Bombyx mori: one gene and its partners. Each later gene encodes a partner of the first gene's protein in a complex. Links are inferred from orthologs where the notes say so. Each region holds a gene or a part of one and is shown in the gene's direction. Other genes may lie near its edges.

Evidence for each region.
Region 2: histone acetyltransferase Tip60 (region 1) and inhibitor of growth protein 3 share a complex: the UniProt entries of both Homo sapiens proteins name them as parts of the SWR1-like complex. The link is inferred for Bombyx mori from reciprocal best matches to the Homo sapiens genes KAT5 and ING3.
Region 3: histone acetyltransferase Tip60 (region 1) and vacuolar protein sorting-associated protein 72 homolog share a complex: the UniProt entries of both Homo sapiens proteins name them as parts of the nuA4 histone acetyltransferase complex. The link is inferred for Bombyx mori from reciprocal best matches to the Homo sapiens genes KAT5 and VPS72.
Region 4: histone acetyltransferase Tip60 (region 1) and bromodomain-containing protein 8 share a complex: the UniProt entries of both Homo sapiens proteins name them as parts of the SWR1-like complex. The link is inferred for Bombyx mori from reciprocal best matches to the Homo sapiens genes KAT5 and BRD8.

The regions. Positions count from the first base shown.
Region 1 is NC_085124.1:9,232,000-9,235,329, forward strand, and holds the end of histone acetyltransferase Tip60, read left to right. Parts: intron 1-1,496; coding exon 1,497-1,605; intron 1,606-2,316; coding exon 2,317-2,420; intron 2,421-2,730; coding exon 2,731-2,737; 3' UTR 2,738-2,789; downstream 2,790-3,330. UniProt on the Homo sapiens protein: Catalytic subunit of the NuA4 histone acetyltransferase complex, a multiprotein complex involved in transcriptional activation of select genes principally by acetylation of nucleosomal histones H2A and H4.
Region 2 is NC_085109.1:7,261,589-7,265,915, reverse strand, and holds the start of inhibitor of growth protein 3, read left to right. Parts: upstream 1-1,523; 5' UTR 1,524-1,705; coding exon 1,706-1,733; intron 1,734-1,976; coding exon 1,977-2,048; intron 2,049-2,137; coding exon 2,138-2,335; intron 2,336-2,555; coding exon 2,556-2,697; intron 2,698-3,034; coding exon 3,035-3,137; intron 3,138-3,293; coding exon 3,294-3,383; intron 3,384-3,785; coding exon 3,786-3,888; intron 3,889-4,327. UniProt on the Homo sapiens protein: Component of the NuA4 histone acetyltransferase (HAT) complex which is involved in transcriptional activation of select genes principally by acetylation of nucleosomal histones H4 and H2A.
Region 3 is NC_085112.1:12,270,580-12,274,855, forward strand, and holds the start of vacuolar protein sorting-associated protein 72 homolog, read left to right. Parts: upstream 1-1,471; 5' UTR 1,472-1,627; coding exon 1,628-1,758; intron 1,759-2,708; coding exon 2,709-2,832; intron 2,833-3,166; coding exon 3,167-3,302; intron 3,303-3,644; coding exon 3,645-3,821; intron 3,822-4,276. UniProt on the Homo sapiens protein: Deposition-and-exchange histone chaperone specific for H2AZ1, specifically chaperones H2AZ1 and deposits it into nucleosomes.
Region 4 is NC_085117.1:1,939,494-1,943,568, reverse strand, and holds the start of bromodomain-containing protein 8, read left to right. Parts: upstream 1-1,245; 5' UTR 1,246-1,597; coding exon 1,598-1,782; intron 1,783-3,058; coding exon 3,059-3,239; intron 3,240-4,045; coding exon 4,046-4,075. Other genes in the region: uncharacterized protein LOC101740762, read left to right, coding at 1-49. UniProt on the Homo sapiens protein: May act as a coactivator during transcriptional activation by hormone-activated nuclear receptors (NR). Isoform 2 stimulates transcriptional activation by AR/DHTR, ESR1/NR3A1, RXRA/NR2B1 and THRB/ERBA2.

The DNA.
Region 1 (3,330 bases):
TACTAGTATCATTTCAGCTCATTTATTGATTGACAATCAGAGTACAATAAAATTGATACAAAATCAGATGAATACTAAAGCTTCTATACATATTGAAATAAAATATCACTACATTAAAGATTTAATTTATAAGAAAATAGTGTCAATCTCATATGTGCCTACAAATGAAAATATCTCTGATATATTTACAAAATCTTTAACTATTCAAAAACATAATTATTTTTGTAGCAAGTTGAATTTAGTTTAAATATTGTATTAGAAAAGCTATGCATATGTTATACATATTTAATTGTTTAGCATTATTATTATCTTAAGAGAATTAACTAGATAACTGTTAATTTAGTAAATATTTTAATGTAACTAATATTGAAAGAAAAAGAAAAAAAGGGTATTTATGATAAATAGTGTTAGTAATGCACAGAGTGGACAGTTAACAAAATTTGTAATTCATTAAACTTATATTTTGTTTGAACAATTTAAGCAGTTGTAAACTTCTATAAATTGAGGGGGTGTGTTGAGTATAATTTAGGATTTGTGCACTACTCTGTGGCTATATATGTTAGTCTATAATTTAGTTTAGTTAGTCTATAATGTGTTATTACAAAATGAATCTATGTCACTTCACTTCCCTTCCGCTCTGCTAATAAAATGGTGCCCGTACTTTTGTGTAATAATTTGCCAAGAGAAATCCAATATGTTCGACTCCTTACACCAGTTGCGGCAGCGTTAATGATGAGAATCTTTGTGGGGGTGAGAAATAATAATGTTAATTTTAAATTCCCAGCGAAGCGGACGGGTACAGCTAGTAGTTTATATGTAATGTGTTTGTGCCGCTTTTTTATTGTTTCGGCGATGATGGCGTGATTGTATTGTTTCACAGTTAAAAACATTTAACTGTTGATGGTAATACCAAAATGAAACGCGTATGTCGCGTATTAAGCGAAATGTCGCTTAAACCAAATAGCCTTTCACCCGTCGGTATAATATATAAATAGAACAGTTTTTTTATTGCTTAGATGGGTGGACGAGCTCACTGCCAACCTGATTTTAAGTGGTTAGCGGAACCCTACATCTACAACGTAAACGCCGTCACCCACCTTGAGATATGAGTTCTAAGGTCTCAATATAGTTACAACAACTGCCCCATCCCTCAAACCTAAACGCATTACTGCTTCACGGCAGAAATAGGCAGGGTGGTAGTACCTACCCGTGCAGACTCACAAGAAGTCCTACCACCAGTAATTACGCAAATTATAATTTTGCGGGTTTGTTTTTATTATACGATGTTATTCCTTCACCATGGAAGTCAATCGCGTGAACATTTGTTAAGCACGTATTTCATTAGAAGAATTGGTACCCGCCTGCGGGATTGGAACACCGTTGCATCACTAGATACGTATGCATCATCGGACGTCTTATCATTTAGGCCACGACGTCTTGAAAATTAAACCACAAGAGAAATTTTATTTGCGTCTTACATAAAATGTTTGTTTTAGTGAAATTTGCGAACTGACTAGCATTAAGAAGGAGGACGTGATCAGTACATTGCAGAATTTGAACCTCATCAACTACTACAAGGGACAGTACATTATCTCGGTCAACCAGGTTATCTATACCGTTAATTGATAATTATTTATGACTCACTTAAATGGAAACAACGTTAAAATTTGATTTCAACTTAATGAAGAATCGAGTAGTTTATTTAATAATAATAAAAACACGTGTGGCACTCGGGGACTGCCGCGGTAAAGCTATTGCATAGCATTTTTTATCAACTTATGCAGTTATAATTAGACAATAATAATTTAATATTAAAACAATAATAAAATAAGAACACGCTATATTTATAAACATTAACAAAAGCAAAACATTAATTGTCCCCTTCACACTCATAAGCTAAACCGCGCGAGAGAGAGATGGGCAGACTTTTAATGATGCGCATCCAGTGCGACGTCACGCCGCGCGCTTATTCACAAATACTGCACAAGCGCAACGTGAATGTGTTGAACGCGAGCTACATGGCAGGCGGAGTGGGGAGTGTCAGGTTTTATTTTCGTTACGAAATTTCTTGATTCGGTCGCCGCGCTCAAAGCCCGCGATAAAAGCTATGCAATAGTTTAAAAATCACGTTAATTTTATCGTTATTATAACTCAACTTAATATCGGATATAGATTAGTTATTTAAAAAATATAAATATGTATACACATAATGGGAAAAAATATATTTTTCTTTATATTTCCGAAAGCAACGTTTTCTCCATTTAAGTGTAAAAAGAAAAGTACTCCCATGATCTGATATTTCTTATCAATAATTAGGAAACTCTTCAGCAACACGAGAAAGCAATGGAAAAACGTATGCTAAGAATCGATCCAAAATGTTTACACTGGACTCCAAAAGATTGGTCTAAACGGGCGAAATGGTAAGTTGATTTAAATAAAAAATAATATAACCAACCTTAGTAATTTCGGATCGTAGAAATAAATCTGTGAATGTGTGTTATTGTTTATCATTTGAATTATCTACTTATATATTCTTTATTATTTTATTTAACACACACAGTTATATTTTATATTTTTATATCCTCCAATTATATTTTAATATTTTCATTTAAATCGATGATTGCATAATTTTTGATAATCTTTGTAAATTATGTATCAATTATGGATTTATTATTCGCCATTCCTTTTTGACTATATATTCTGATGTTTATTTTTTTCTTTTTGTCACAGTGTTTGAAGTGATAATAATGGAGACGAGAGCTATCTAACTCAAGCTTCGACACGTATGCAACCCGTTCATTTTGTATCTAACTAATAATAATATTGTTTTTTTAATGGCTCGATACTAACATTGCTTGGGACTCTCATGACACATCTTAACATGTTTGCACGAATTTTTTTTTTTGTTTCACTTTGTCTTGTGTAGATTCGTAGTTCATTATGAGTTAATTTTTTTTTGTTTTTTGTTTTAGTAATAGGCTAGATGACTGATTTTTATAAATGTTTCGTATAAATCCAGCTTGTAACTAAGGAAATGATGTTTAGTAGTATAGTAGTGGTTGTAAGCTTTTTAATTGAATGCTAGACAGAGAGAGCACTATCGAAAGATATGACGTCACATGTGATATGGCGTTACATGTGTTCAACAGTCCGGTAGGTGGAATTCAGACTATCTCTCAACTGAAATAAATCTGTATGATCGGTTTTTTTTTTTTGTTCCTTATCTTAATTGCTTTTATTTAACCCTTAGAGGCATGTTGTTTTAAACAAATAAAACGAACAATAATGTAGGTTTTTTTTTAATCCGTCTAATTTTGTAGATTTCAATAA
Region 2 (4,327 bases), on another chromosome or scaffold:
TAAAGATCCACTGGGAGAGCAGTGTAGCAAATAAAAATTCGCTTAGGTAGAATTTGCCCATCAAAGGTGAGAACCACAGTTTCAGTAGCCTTAAATTCAGTGCCATTACTAGTAATGATACGCCGTCTCATTCTTCTTACTTTTAAAATCGGACCGCATCCAACAGGTAAATTAATATTTTCCATAACTTCTTCATCTGACCACTCAGCAGGTATGCCTCTTACGACACCCATACGGGTCACAGTAAACGTTGGGATAAAAACCTTATACTCGGCGGATTGCAAAGCAGGGCTGTTTAAGAAAGAATTTGCGTCCTGGTAATTATTGAAAGACAGAGACAGTCTATTACGGCCAATTCTTTTTAAGCTTCCGTTAACGATGTTGTGGATAGAATTCCTTTTTAAAAAACGACCAAAAGCGATAGGGTGAACTGTTACATCATCGTTAGGAGCTTGCTGTATTTTTTGCACATGAACAACATATGGTGCTGCATCACTTACCTGATAAGTTAATCTGGCTACCGATTCTGGTTTTTTGTACTGATTGGACTGATTGGAATTCAGTTGCGAGTCAGTGAATTGGGGAGGAGTAATACTTTGGGTGTTAGTGTTACTATTAAACAAAGGTATGCAATCACATTCGTTTGGTTTTATTTCTTTGCCCTGATTTTGTTTCCGATTTCGTCTTTTTTTATGGCATTTAGAGCAATGCTTATTGACAGTGGCTCTACGTTTTCGAGCACCACTGTTAGATTTAACGGATCCATCGGTTTCCATTCCAGATTCATTTGATATTGTTACATTGTAACCGACCCCAGGGACTTCTCCGCCCCCAGGGTCATCAGGCGGCTCCATAAGGAGCAAAAGTTAGGAAAAAAAAACACTTACCAATAACAGTCCTAATTCACTTTTAAATAAATAAAACTTAAACAAAACAAATATTACTATATAAACTACACTAAACTACTGATCCAATCCAAAAAATAAAATAAAATAATTTATAAGTCGAAAAACGCGTACGTCTACAATCAAGTTTCCCGCGCTTCTCTCCTTGTAGCCAGTTATGTACGGTACTTGGTTACACACCAATGAGCGCACATATTAGGTACCTACCTATTGATGTTGTGAATTCGCATATTTTAATCGCGACTATTTTAAGTCGATTGTCGAAATCGTCAAATACACGAAGTGTGTCTTTTGAATGAAATTGTGTCAAATTGAAATTTCTAATTTGTCTACATATGCGATCTATGGAAATGTTTTTTCAAAATACACGATACAAATACACGAACTAGTACTTATACTTTGTATAGTATTATTAGTACTATGCCTATGGTATTAATTAGAATCAAAGGTTAGTAATTAACTTACCTTGGACCACTTGGACTATATACTTACAATATATACAAACAGCTATTTACCACATAATTTTAAAGTTTAAGTTCAATCTAAGAAATAAATCAAAAGTAATATTTCTTAGTTAGCTGGTATTTTAATCGATTTTGTGACCGATGTTAACACTCTTTTTGTCACAGCACTACTTACCCACCATTTTGTAAAATCAATCAAGCTTTCCAGCTTTATGAAGTGTGACGTTTAAGTATACATCAACGTAGTATCTATTGACTAATTTATTTGAGTTTTAGGTTCAAAGTTAGCATTTCAACAGTAATTTAACAAACTTGAAGCACAAAACACTCACCAAAATGCTGTATCTTGAAGATTATTTGGAAAGTAAGTTATTTGTTAGACCAGTGACGTAACTAAAAATCCATTAAGACAGTTGGTAGCACTGTAGCGTCCTTAATAAATAAAGCGCAAAATTTAAAAATACCACTATTTGAATTGTTAAACAACATCGTTGACGCAGAATATTGAATTAGTAAATTAAGTAATACAAATAATAATAACAGCTTGATTTAATTTTAAAGTTTATGTGAAAGCATAAACCGAATAAAATTTGAGATTTAATTGCAGTGATAGAACATCTACCGCAAGAACTGCGAGACAGATTTACTGAAATGAGAGAAATGGATTTGTCTGTCCAAAGTAAGCTATCTTGCCATAAAATTACATTCATACATACAATACAATTACACTATTATACCAGACTTTTACTATATTTTGGTCATTAATAGATAACATGGACACCCTTGAGAAAAGAGTCCGTACTCTTTTTGGTGGATGTCGTCGTGGTGAAATAAATACCGATCAAGCCAATACTGAGTTTTCGGATATTAAGCGGGGCTATGCCAAAACTTTAGAAGAGGCTGACGAAAAGACCACACTTGCCAACCAAATGTATGATTTGGTTGATAGGTATCTTCGACGATTAGGTACGTATCACTAAAAAATCCTGTACACAAAATAATGTATGAAATATATTGCAACTTTTAAGTAAATTCAGTTAAATGAGTGATTCCATAATTAAAATTAATTAACACTCCGGTTTGCATACATAATTGTGTACCACTATGAAAACATGGTATGATGTATAATTAAACAATTTATATATTCGAAATATTCAAATAATAAGTTAAACATGCTTAAAAACAGATACAGAGCTGCATAAATTCAAGTGTGAGCTTGAAGCAGACAACAAAGGGATAACAGAATTGCTTGAGAAGAGGTCACTTGAATTGGATGTTAATACTAATCACACTAGCACATCAAACAGCAGTCATTACAAGGAAAATAGGTAACTCAACACAAATGTCAAATTAAAATTGTGTAATGAAAAATATCCTCAATCATGTTTTGACTAAATAGTTGGATAGATACTATCTTTAAACAATAATTTGCTCTCAAGAGTTAGTATTAAACTACAATTCATTGTAGTTTGAATCGCATCTTGTTTCCTACTGGAACAGTAAGTAATCAGTAGCTTGACTATGCCTGGCATTGCTGATGTCTGAGTTACAGTGACTATATACCATCAGGTAGGCTCTATATGCTGCTGCATGCCCACCTTTGATCTGTCTTGGAAAAAAAAATGAAACATTAATAAAATAAGATAATTCTTGGAAATTGTTCAGGTATCGCATAAGGCCAGAAAAGCGACGAGATAGTTGGGGAAATCGTGATTCCCAACGTGGACATTCCTCAAGCAATATGTCGCGCACTGACTCCGCCATACAGGTTTGTTAGGAGATTTTAGGCAAACTCAAAAAAAAGTCGTAATAAAAAAAACAATTACTAAGAAACAATTTTCAGAATTTACAACTTAACTTGCAAATAAGTTGTTTATTTCAAAGTACAGTGTAAAACTTATAATTTCTGTTCAAATACTTTCAGGCTGCACTTGGTCGTGAATCTTACTCTTTGGGACATGCTGGCAGTACCATAGCTGCAGCAGCAAGCCAAGCTATTGCTGCTACACAACAAGTAAATTAAACATTAATATACATGATTAATAAAAAACATGTTTTTGGTTGTATAAAAATAACAGGTTCAGCCTAACTGATATCACTTTTTCCTGACCTCAAAACGGGATAACACATTATACACAGTCTTAAATCTACACTTTTTGGTCAATAAAATAAATTAACTACTATTCCAGCTAATTACTTATAGACTGACAAATACTCTGAATAATAATTAAAATGAAAAGTATTTATACGAATTAATAGAGTTTTCATGTGAAGGCAGTAGTTTATGCTCATTTCAGCTTCAGAATCTTTCTGCATTTAACAAATAGATATAATGTATCATTTAATATAATATTTTTTTGATAAAACCATCACTTTATTTCCGAATTATGTTAACATTAATTCTCTTAATGTACAGATGCAGCATGGTCGTCGTACAGCATCATTGAAAGCATCCTATGAAGCAGTTGCAGGTGGAGAGCTGGCTCATCATGCTTTACAAACTCATCATCACGATCATGGTAAAAAAAATATTTAAAATAAATTAATTGATCATTCTCAGTTGCTCAAACGCTAGAAAAGCTAGTTATAAGCTTTTTTCAGAATTTCCCTGGGTGAAAAGTTTGTCTACAATTGGTTATCTGTCCACTATACCAATTATAATAGACCAGAAAATCTAGGCAAGCGCGAATTGATAAATTTTCAATATGAATTACGTTTGGGGAGCAGTAAATCTCTCTATCAAATTCACTTCAAAATAAAAATAAATAACAGATAATTGGTAAATAATGACAAAGTGTCATCTAGTCCCAAACTAGGACTTTCTGAATTATGGGAAACAAAGACTGATGCACATGCATACTTAATATGTTTAAACATGTCTGGCTATTAAAGACAGGCAAACTAGTTTGTCGTACCAATATTTTCCACAAATTCGACTTGGGAATCGAACCTACATAT
Region 3 (4,276 bases), on another chromosome or scaffold:
ATAATTCATTTACTCATTTTTTTTGAATTGAATTTTTTTAGTATATAGAATATAAAAAAATATTAATTTCGGTAAATACATTGCTAAAGTAAATCGCAAGTAAATTATATTCCTCTAAAACAGTGAACGGAAAACATAATATACATCTGGCCGGGTAGTAGCTAAGATTTTATTATATGTTGATGTGTGTACGCAATGTAGAGGTCTGCCGTGATCAATATAAGTTTTTAAGACTACAATAAACAACATATTATTATATCAATGGCAGATCTGGTCAATTACTTTTAAAATTTTATTTTTTTAGCATTTTCAAAGTGGTCTGCCACAAAGTAAAATGCGCGGTAATGGTATGCCATTCTTATTTTCCGATAATAATAATCATATATTTTCAAAATTTCAAAACGGTAGACGTGGTCAAATGGATTTAAAATCCGTCAAAATCGGTACCTGTCCTACCTGAGCGCTCGGCGCGTCGACCACTTTGAGCTTAGTGAGTCCCCACCTCATGCATGGTAGGTATAGGGGTCTCAATGTACGAAAATTCAGGTCTGGTCAAATACATACAGGTAGAGTCCACGGGCTCTTGGGCTACAACGTTGAAAGACGCTTCACGTCAGCTTCCACTATTGCCTTTGTCTACTTTGTCGTTATTGATTTTAGTTTTCGGGTAATGACGAGAGGGAGAGAGAGATGAATATATTTTTTTTAGATCAAAATTTCGATGGCTGACTCGTTTAAACCAATAACGAGTTGTGTATTCAGTTTTAAATGTTGTGAGCCGTTTGGGCGGCAGTGCCACCGCGATGGATCTTTTATTCCATAATTACTCATATTTTTACGGTATCTACATTATTGAAAAGATACAAATAGTAAAAATAAAACATTAGGGAATAAACAATTGACTGAATTTCAAAATATTATCTATTTATTTAAATTAGTATTTATTGCCAGTCATACAAAAATTGCATTTCAAATGGCCAGTTCTCACGAACAGGAACTTCTTAGGCAAATACATATTATTTCCTACGATTATGAGAAAGGCTACGAAAAAAAATTTTTTTTGTGTGTATTGTTTCAATACAAACTCAATAAAAAGCAAATACAAATTGGTAAAATATCTTTAAAGATTTTTGAGGACCTGTCGTACATGCTGATGCATAATTAAAAAACGCGATTACGTACTACGTAGCTTGTATTTAAGTCTAATTAATTATGTTACCTACAACATTTGCGGTTAAAATAATAAAATAATAATTCTACGTGTTAGTTTTAGCGGGCTTTGTATCTATATATCTACCATATACTATTTAAATAGGTATGTGTACCTACTAATGTATATAAGACTGACAGTGGCTGTAGATCATAGACTTCAGTGCTGTAGATACATCTTCAATCCACCACAGTTAAATCTAAATTTGTCACTGTCTTTTTATAAGTTTGGCTGTATGATTGTTGTTCCCTTTAACAATACTATCAGAGAAATCGAGTAAACATACTGTGAATGTCAAATTTTGATTTTTAATAGTAACAAACAAAATTTTGTTTTTATTAACAACATTTATGAACTTCTTGACTGAAACTGATTCCTTAAAATTCTATATTAACAAAATTCGAGCTGTTTTACAAAATGGCTCAACGGGCACGAAGATCAAACGCTGGAAATCGTATGGCTAAACTCCTTGACGAGGAGGAAGAGGATGATTTTTACAAAACAACATACGGAGGGTTTAATGATGTTGAAGAGGACGTAGAATATCAGTATGTAATATCATAGTATTCATAGAATATACGTTGAATCTATTAAGCTTTTGGTTTCGGAGAACCGAGCCTAAACGACACTCCCTGAAAGGTACTTGCGAGTAGAAATGTGGGCTGATGAGTTACTTAGATTTTTTCCGCTGCTATCTAGCTAGTCTCTGAAAGTACAAGACAAAGGGCTTCGACATATAGCGGAAACTCTCACTTCTGAGAATCATGCTTTTCCAGTAAGGCAATCAATCACTTCTTGTTGTTAATCATAAGGTCGTAAGATATTTTGTCAAGTAGTCTGCAAATTCAGCACATTCCAGCAAAATGTTAGCTGCTGTCTCATTGCCTCCGTCTAACATATTGTATATAAACATTTGTTCAATTTTTTTGATCCATAATATCCTATAAAACTATGATTAAATCATAAAAAAATGTTAAAATAATAATGGCAGAGTTACATTAACAAAGTTAATCCTATAGAGAAAAAATAAGCTACGGAAACAAGCAAATTTACTGGCACCAAATAAATATTTGATATATTTTGGATATTCTTAGTGGTTTGCGATTCCAATCTGGTGGTAGAATCTGCAAAGTATTACTCTTGCCAGAGTTAGTGTTAGTAAATTCTTTAAGGTTGAGCCTGTGAGCTTATCTACTAGTCTGCGAGAAGCTGGAATAGACTCTTAACTTACAAGTGAATTTTTTCTTTCTTCTTTCCTATTACCCTCTGGTGGAGTGTAGTAGGGCTTGAATCAAATTCATCCATTTGCATAGTTCTTAGGCAGATGTGAATAGAATAATAAAAATAGAAGAAAAGTAGAACATGTGAATAGGTAGGGAAAAAGTTGTTAATATATAGTATAAAGTATATATTATAGCCTAATAAAATAGTTAATGAATTTACTTGACCCTTGCATTAAAATGTTCAGTGGTTAACTTTGAAATTTTTAACATTTTAGACAAGAAAAGGAAGTTGATGATGAAGTTGATTCAGATTTTGATATTGATGAGAATGATGAACCAGTGTCTGACCAGGAAGTTGAAGAAAAAGCTAAAAGAAAAGTTGGCACTAAAGCTTATAAGGTATAATTAAAATATTCTTCAATGAGTTTTATAGAGTTATCCTCAGTGGTAGGCACCATCCAGGATATGTCCCCTATATTATTTTGTAATGATTATTGATTAGCATTATCAGGTATGTTTGGTTTATTCTTTCAATAATCGTTTTGTATGTCATAATAATAAAACTGAGTAACCTTTTGCACTACACATCTTATAATTGAAACTAATATTACACTTGTATGAAATAGGCAGAAATTGTAAAACATTGAAATAGAATAGCGTAGATATATTTATAAATATGAACTGCCCAGACATTATTTCAAATAAAAATCTCAATGCAATAATGATATTTCAGGACCCCAATAAGAAGAAATTAAATGAAAAATCAAAAAAGACAGTCATCAAAAAATCCAAAGATGATAAATCTATAGAAGACAAAGTTGAAAAACAAAACAAAAGTGCCGTGGACAAAATTGTTGATACCTCAATAGGTAATTTTAAACTTTTCTTTTAATGATATACTTTATTTGGTGTCATTATAAATAAATAAAACAATAAGTTTTGCTTAAGTAACAGTAAGTTTTGTAGTAAGAGTAGTGTTGTATGAGAAAGGAAATTTGATTCATAGCTAAATCTCTCAAACCTCACCATACAAAATAAATATCTTAAGTCTTTATGAACCTGGCTAAGAAACTGAAATCGAATCAATTGCAAGAAAATAGTAAATGAATAAATAGTAAAAATGTAAATAGTTTGAACTGTAAAGAATTCACAACTAAAATGTATATATAATATAATATGTAAATAAATGTAGTCCTATTTTTTAACTGAAGAACGGAAGTCTATAAGACAAAGTACAGCTATGAAATCTGCCGAGACAATACAAAGGATAAAAATCAGGTCAGAGCTGAAAAAGAAGAAACCGAAGAAAGTAGAAGAGAAGATGCCGACCCAGGAAGAGCTGTTGGAAGAAGCAGTCGAGACAGAGAAAGAGAACTTAAAGAGTTTAGGTGAATATATATTTCTAATTGTATGAATGGGTGATAGAGCTTCAAGACATAGTAATTAACAGTACCTTGAAATACGAGGTCTTAATCTCAATTTTATTTTATAACGGCTGTATCGTTTTTCAAACCGGAATAAGCAGAGGGTTGTGTAGGCATCACAAGATGCCCACATGATGACCAGCAAGAATTACGTGAATTAAAATTTTCGTGCAAAGTTAAAGTACAACTTCAGGAATTCTCTAAACTTGTTCTGTTTTGTGAGCTGTCTCATACTTTGGAACATAAATCAGGATATTTTTAAAATTTTGATAAAATTGCCCATAAAGGGACTTATACTATTAACAAAAACCAAAAAAAAAATTTTTTATTCAACATAAATGAAAGTACATACTTGTTGAACGTCAAAAAGAACTACCACCAATTAACAAAAACTAGCCTCCGTCCTGAGAGGAACTGGC
Region 4 (4,075 bases), on another chromosome or scaffold:
GTTTATTTACGAGAGGCAGAGGGGAAACTCGGCGGGACATAGCTCATAAAATTAACTAAAGAAAAACTAAGTTTCAAGTTACACACAAAATATATGTATCTAAAATTTGAGAGAAATTAATGTGAGATATTATTTTATTTTCCGGAATTCCTTAAAAATAATTAAAAAGTCGTTTGAATGCTGATAATTAATTTCGTGTGACTCGTTTCAGGCCTAAATGACAAACATGACCCTAAACGCATACTGGGAATAATAACCTATAAGGACTTTAAAAGATTAGATTTTTAATTGTGTCGAATCGGTAGGCGATTCTAAGGCTCACTTGGCACGCGATTATCATCCCTAACGCCCCACGACATAGACAACTCAGTGGATTGTGGAAAATAGTGGAAATATTTTTTTATTTTTTTATATCTTAGATGGGTGGACGAGCTCACAGCCCACCTGGTATCAAGTGGTTACTGGAGCCCATAGACATCCACAACGTAAATGCGCCACCCACCTTGAGATATAAGTTCTAAGGTCTCAAGTATAGTTACAACGGCTACCCCACCCTTCAAACCGAAACGCATTACTACTTCACGGCAGAAATAGGCAGGGTGGTGGTGCCTACCCGCGCGGACTCACAAGAGGTCCTACCACCAGTAATTACACAGATTATAATTTTGCGGGTTTCATTTTTATTACACGATGTTATTCCTTCACCGTGGAAATCAATCGTGAACATTTGTTGAGTACGTATTTCATTAGAAAAATTGGTACCCGCCTGCGGGATTCGAACACCGGTGCATTGCTCAACACGAATGCACCGGACGTCATATCCGTTAGGCCACGACGACTTCAAAAAATATGTCATAGATCTATCTTATTTAAAAAGTGTATTAGAGTCTAACTATCATAGATTTATACACTTAATATATTCGAGATAACTATACTGAGACCTTAGAACCTATATCTCAAGGTGGGTGGCGCATTTACCTTGTATGGGCTCCAGTAACCACTTAACGCCAGGTGAGCTGTGAGCTCATTCCCCCATCTAAGCAATAAATAAAAGAAATAATAATAATTGAACACGCCAACTAACAAGCCGCTGAACGTAACTTCTCGGGATCCTCCAAAAATTTCACTGAAAAAGTCTACAATGAAATGACAACCATTTTAATGAGATTATATATTTTCTTCCTATATCATCTCATCTTAATTGATTTCTTTTTCATTCCATTTCGTTTTCATTTCATTTGATTTCATTTCATGCCATGTTTTATATTAATCAACTTCATTTATATGTAAAATTATAATATGAAATAAAATATTATAATTTTACATATAAAAAAGTTTTCATTACAATTAAAATAAGACTTGACCCGAAGGTCTTGATAACCAGGTCATTAAATACTTTAAAAAAAATATATTTGTTTTGTATCATGTTTGACGTTTGTATCATAGAATAAACACTTATTAATTGTGTTCTAAACAGTTAAATAATAAAATAAAAATAATATACTTTCAAAACAGTAAATACACATTACATGGACAATTAAACAACTATAAATAGTTATGTAATCTCGAAACTCCATTTCCAAAACATAACCTCAAAATGAGCTCGATACAAGAGCGTCTTCAGCTCAAAAGAGTTCCTCTGGACACTTGGAATATACGTGAACAGCTATGCCTGGCCTCCGCCGTGGTCAGAAGCGGGGATCAGAACTGGATGTCGGTTTCCCGCGCTCTAAAGACCCTTGGCGAGCCAAACAGGCCTCCGGACTGGTATTCCCAAAAAAGGTTTTGTTTTTCTTTTATATCTACTATATAATTATTGATACAGGTTTGAAATAGCTTGCGATAGTGAAGTGGTGGCTGAGTTGATGAGAAACACATTCGTTTTTACACATTTATTTTTTATTTTCAAACCATTTTTGCATTATTCACCAATGAAAATTCCACCACGCTTTCCACGTTATTTGAACTCGATAAAACTTAAAATTATATTCAGTAGAGCTATTATAGTATTTAGTAGGCTATAATAGGTCAACACACACTCCTCTCTCTCTCATATCGTCATTCACACACTCCATCCATGTCTTCTTTGGTCAAGTTTTCCCCCTCTACCTTGCACTACAATTTCCATAAATCTCCTAGTCTCATGCATCTCCTCTCTACGCATAACATGTCGATACCACGTGAACTGTCCGCTCTTTAAGTCTTTCCACTCGCTAAAAGACACCCTCTATAACTTTGACAACATTAGGATTGGTTAAACACAGCTCTTATATTATATGGCGGGTGGCCCCAATAATTAAATGTTCAAAAGAAATGTTAATACAACATTTTGACAAAACAATAACACCGAGTTAAACAAAATAAAATGAGATCATTGTCAAAAGCCAATTGAATATTCAATATTATAAATAATTTATAAAAATATATTATCAAATAAACTAAAATAAGTAGCATATATAGCAATAAGTTTGTTCTACACACACTTATCACATTTTATTATTATTCTCATTATCCTCTCGCAGGTCTGCTGGAAGAGATTTCTCAAAGAAATAAGTAGTGCCTTTGTACATAATTTTCCTATTACTCTGTACTGTGTCTTGTTTTCTGTGTGTACATAAATAAATAAATAAAATAAATAATAAAATAGCACTAGCTTTAAAATAAAATCATTTAATGTAATTACACTTTGGAAAGAGTTCTGATATAATGGCATATAAAAAGAGTCTAACTAAGTATGTACCTTCTTTATTTAAAATCTATGAAAAAATTTAAATTTTGCAGATTGCTCCTTAAATCCCCAGTAAATTAATCCTATTCATAAAAAAATTAACAAAATTACAAATAACTTATTTGAAAGACACTAAAGCTCTAATTAATTATATTCATTCTATTATTTTAAATAGTTATATTGTTTATGAGCTTATTCAATCCATATCAAACTGCGTAGATGTCATGTCTTCCTCTGAAGCATTGGATAGCTGAATGATAATGAGATTTAGATCTACAAGAACTGTGGGCTCCGTTATCCGTATGTCATTAACACATTTCCATCCATCAGCTGTGCTGCACAATATGGAACGCTATTAGAACATGTGGAAACGCCGAAACGAAAAAAGAGAAACTCTGACGGTGGCGTGGAAACTCCACAGGAGAGTATATTGAAACGTTTAACCCAAGATCGGATAGCCGAGATCCAGAAGAATATTGCTGAAATGAGTCAACAACATGAAGTAATGAAGGTATTTAATTTTCAAGTGAAACTTCTTTCTTTCTTCTTTATGAGGGTAAAATTTTTACAGAACGTCACGCAGGTATGCAACGGAAGGACATCAAACTACTATTAAAATTAAGTACTTGTCAAATGTCAGTAGTAGTAGTTGTTGTATTTTTCCAACTGGAAAGGCAAATGTATCATATCATACAGCCTAATATTTTATTTTTTTGTGAAAAATGTTAATAGGAATTGAAATGAAATGAAAAGAATTTGGAACATAGCATGAAATTAAATTAGTCAATTCAATTGGCAAAATATTAGTCATCTACAATTTAGAAATCTAAGCATAATGTGAATGTCAACACTGAGGTTTGAGATTGACATTTGACAGACTTTTGGCGGGAACATATCTTCCTTTTTCCCTTCTTCTAAGTCTTGGAAATCTAAAGTTTTAGATTTGCATAAATATAAGTAAGACTTATAAATTAGTTCGCCAAAAAAGTTTCACTTCTGACATGTGTACTTTGTACGCACGCACTTTTTTTTTTTTATAAATCTCAAGCTTTTTATAAAACTTTAAGTGCTGTCAGAGTTGTTAAGTATTGGCTAATATCTGACCATTTAGTGACAGTTCGGTGTCAACATCAACATCAACTTTTAAAAGGTTTTATAGCCTAGTAATGAGAGTTTTAAGTCAAAGTCTTATTTTTACACACCAGTGCATCGCTACATACGAATGCACCGGACCTCTTATCCTTTAGGCCACGACGACTTCACTTTGACTCATAAATATAAGCTAGTAATATATCTTTCTTTACCTTTGTACCACAGGATGAATTATCGGAGATCCGTAATCCTTCA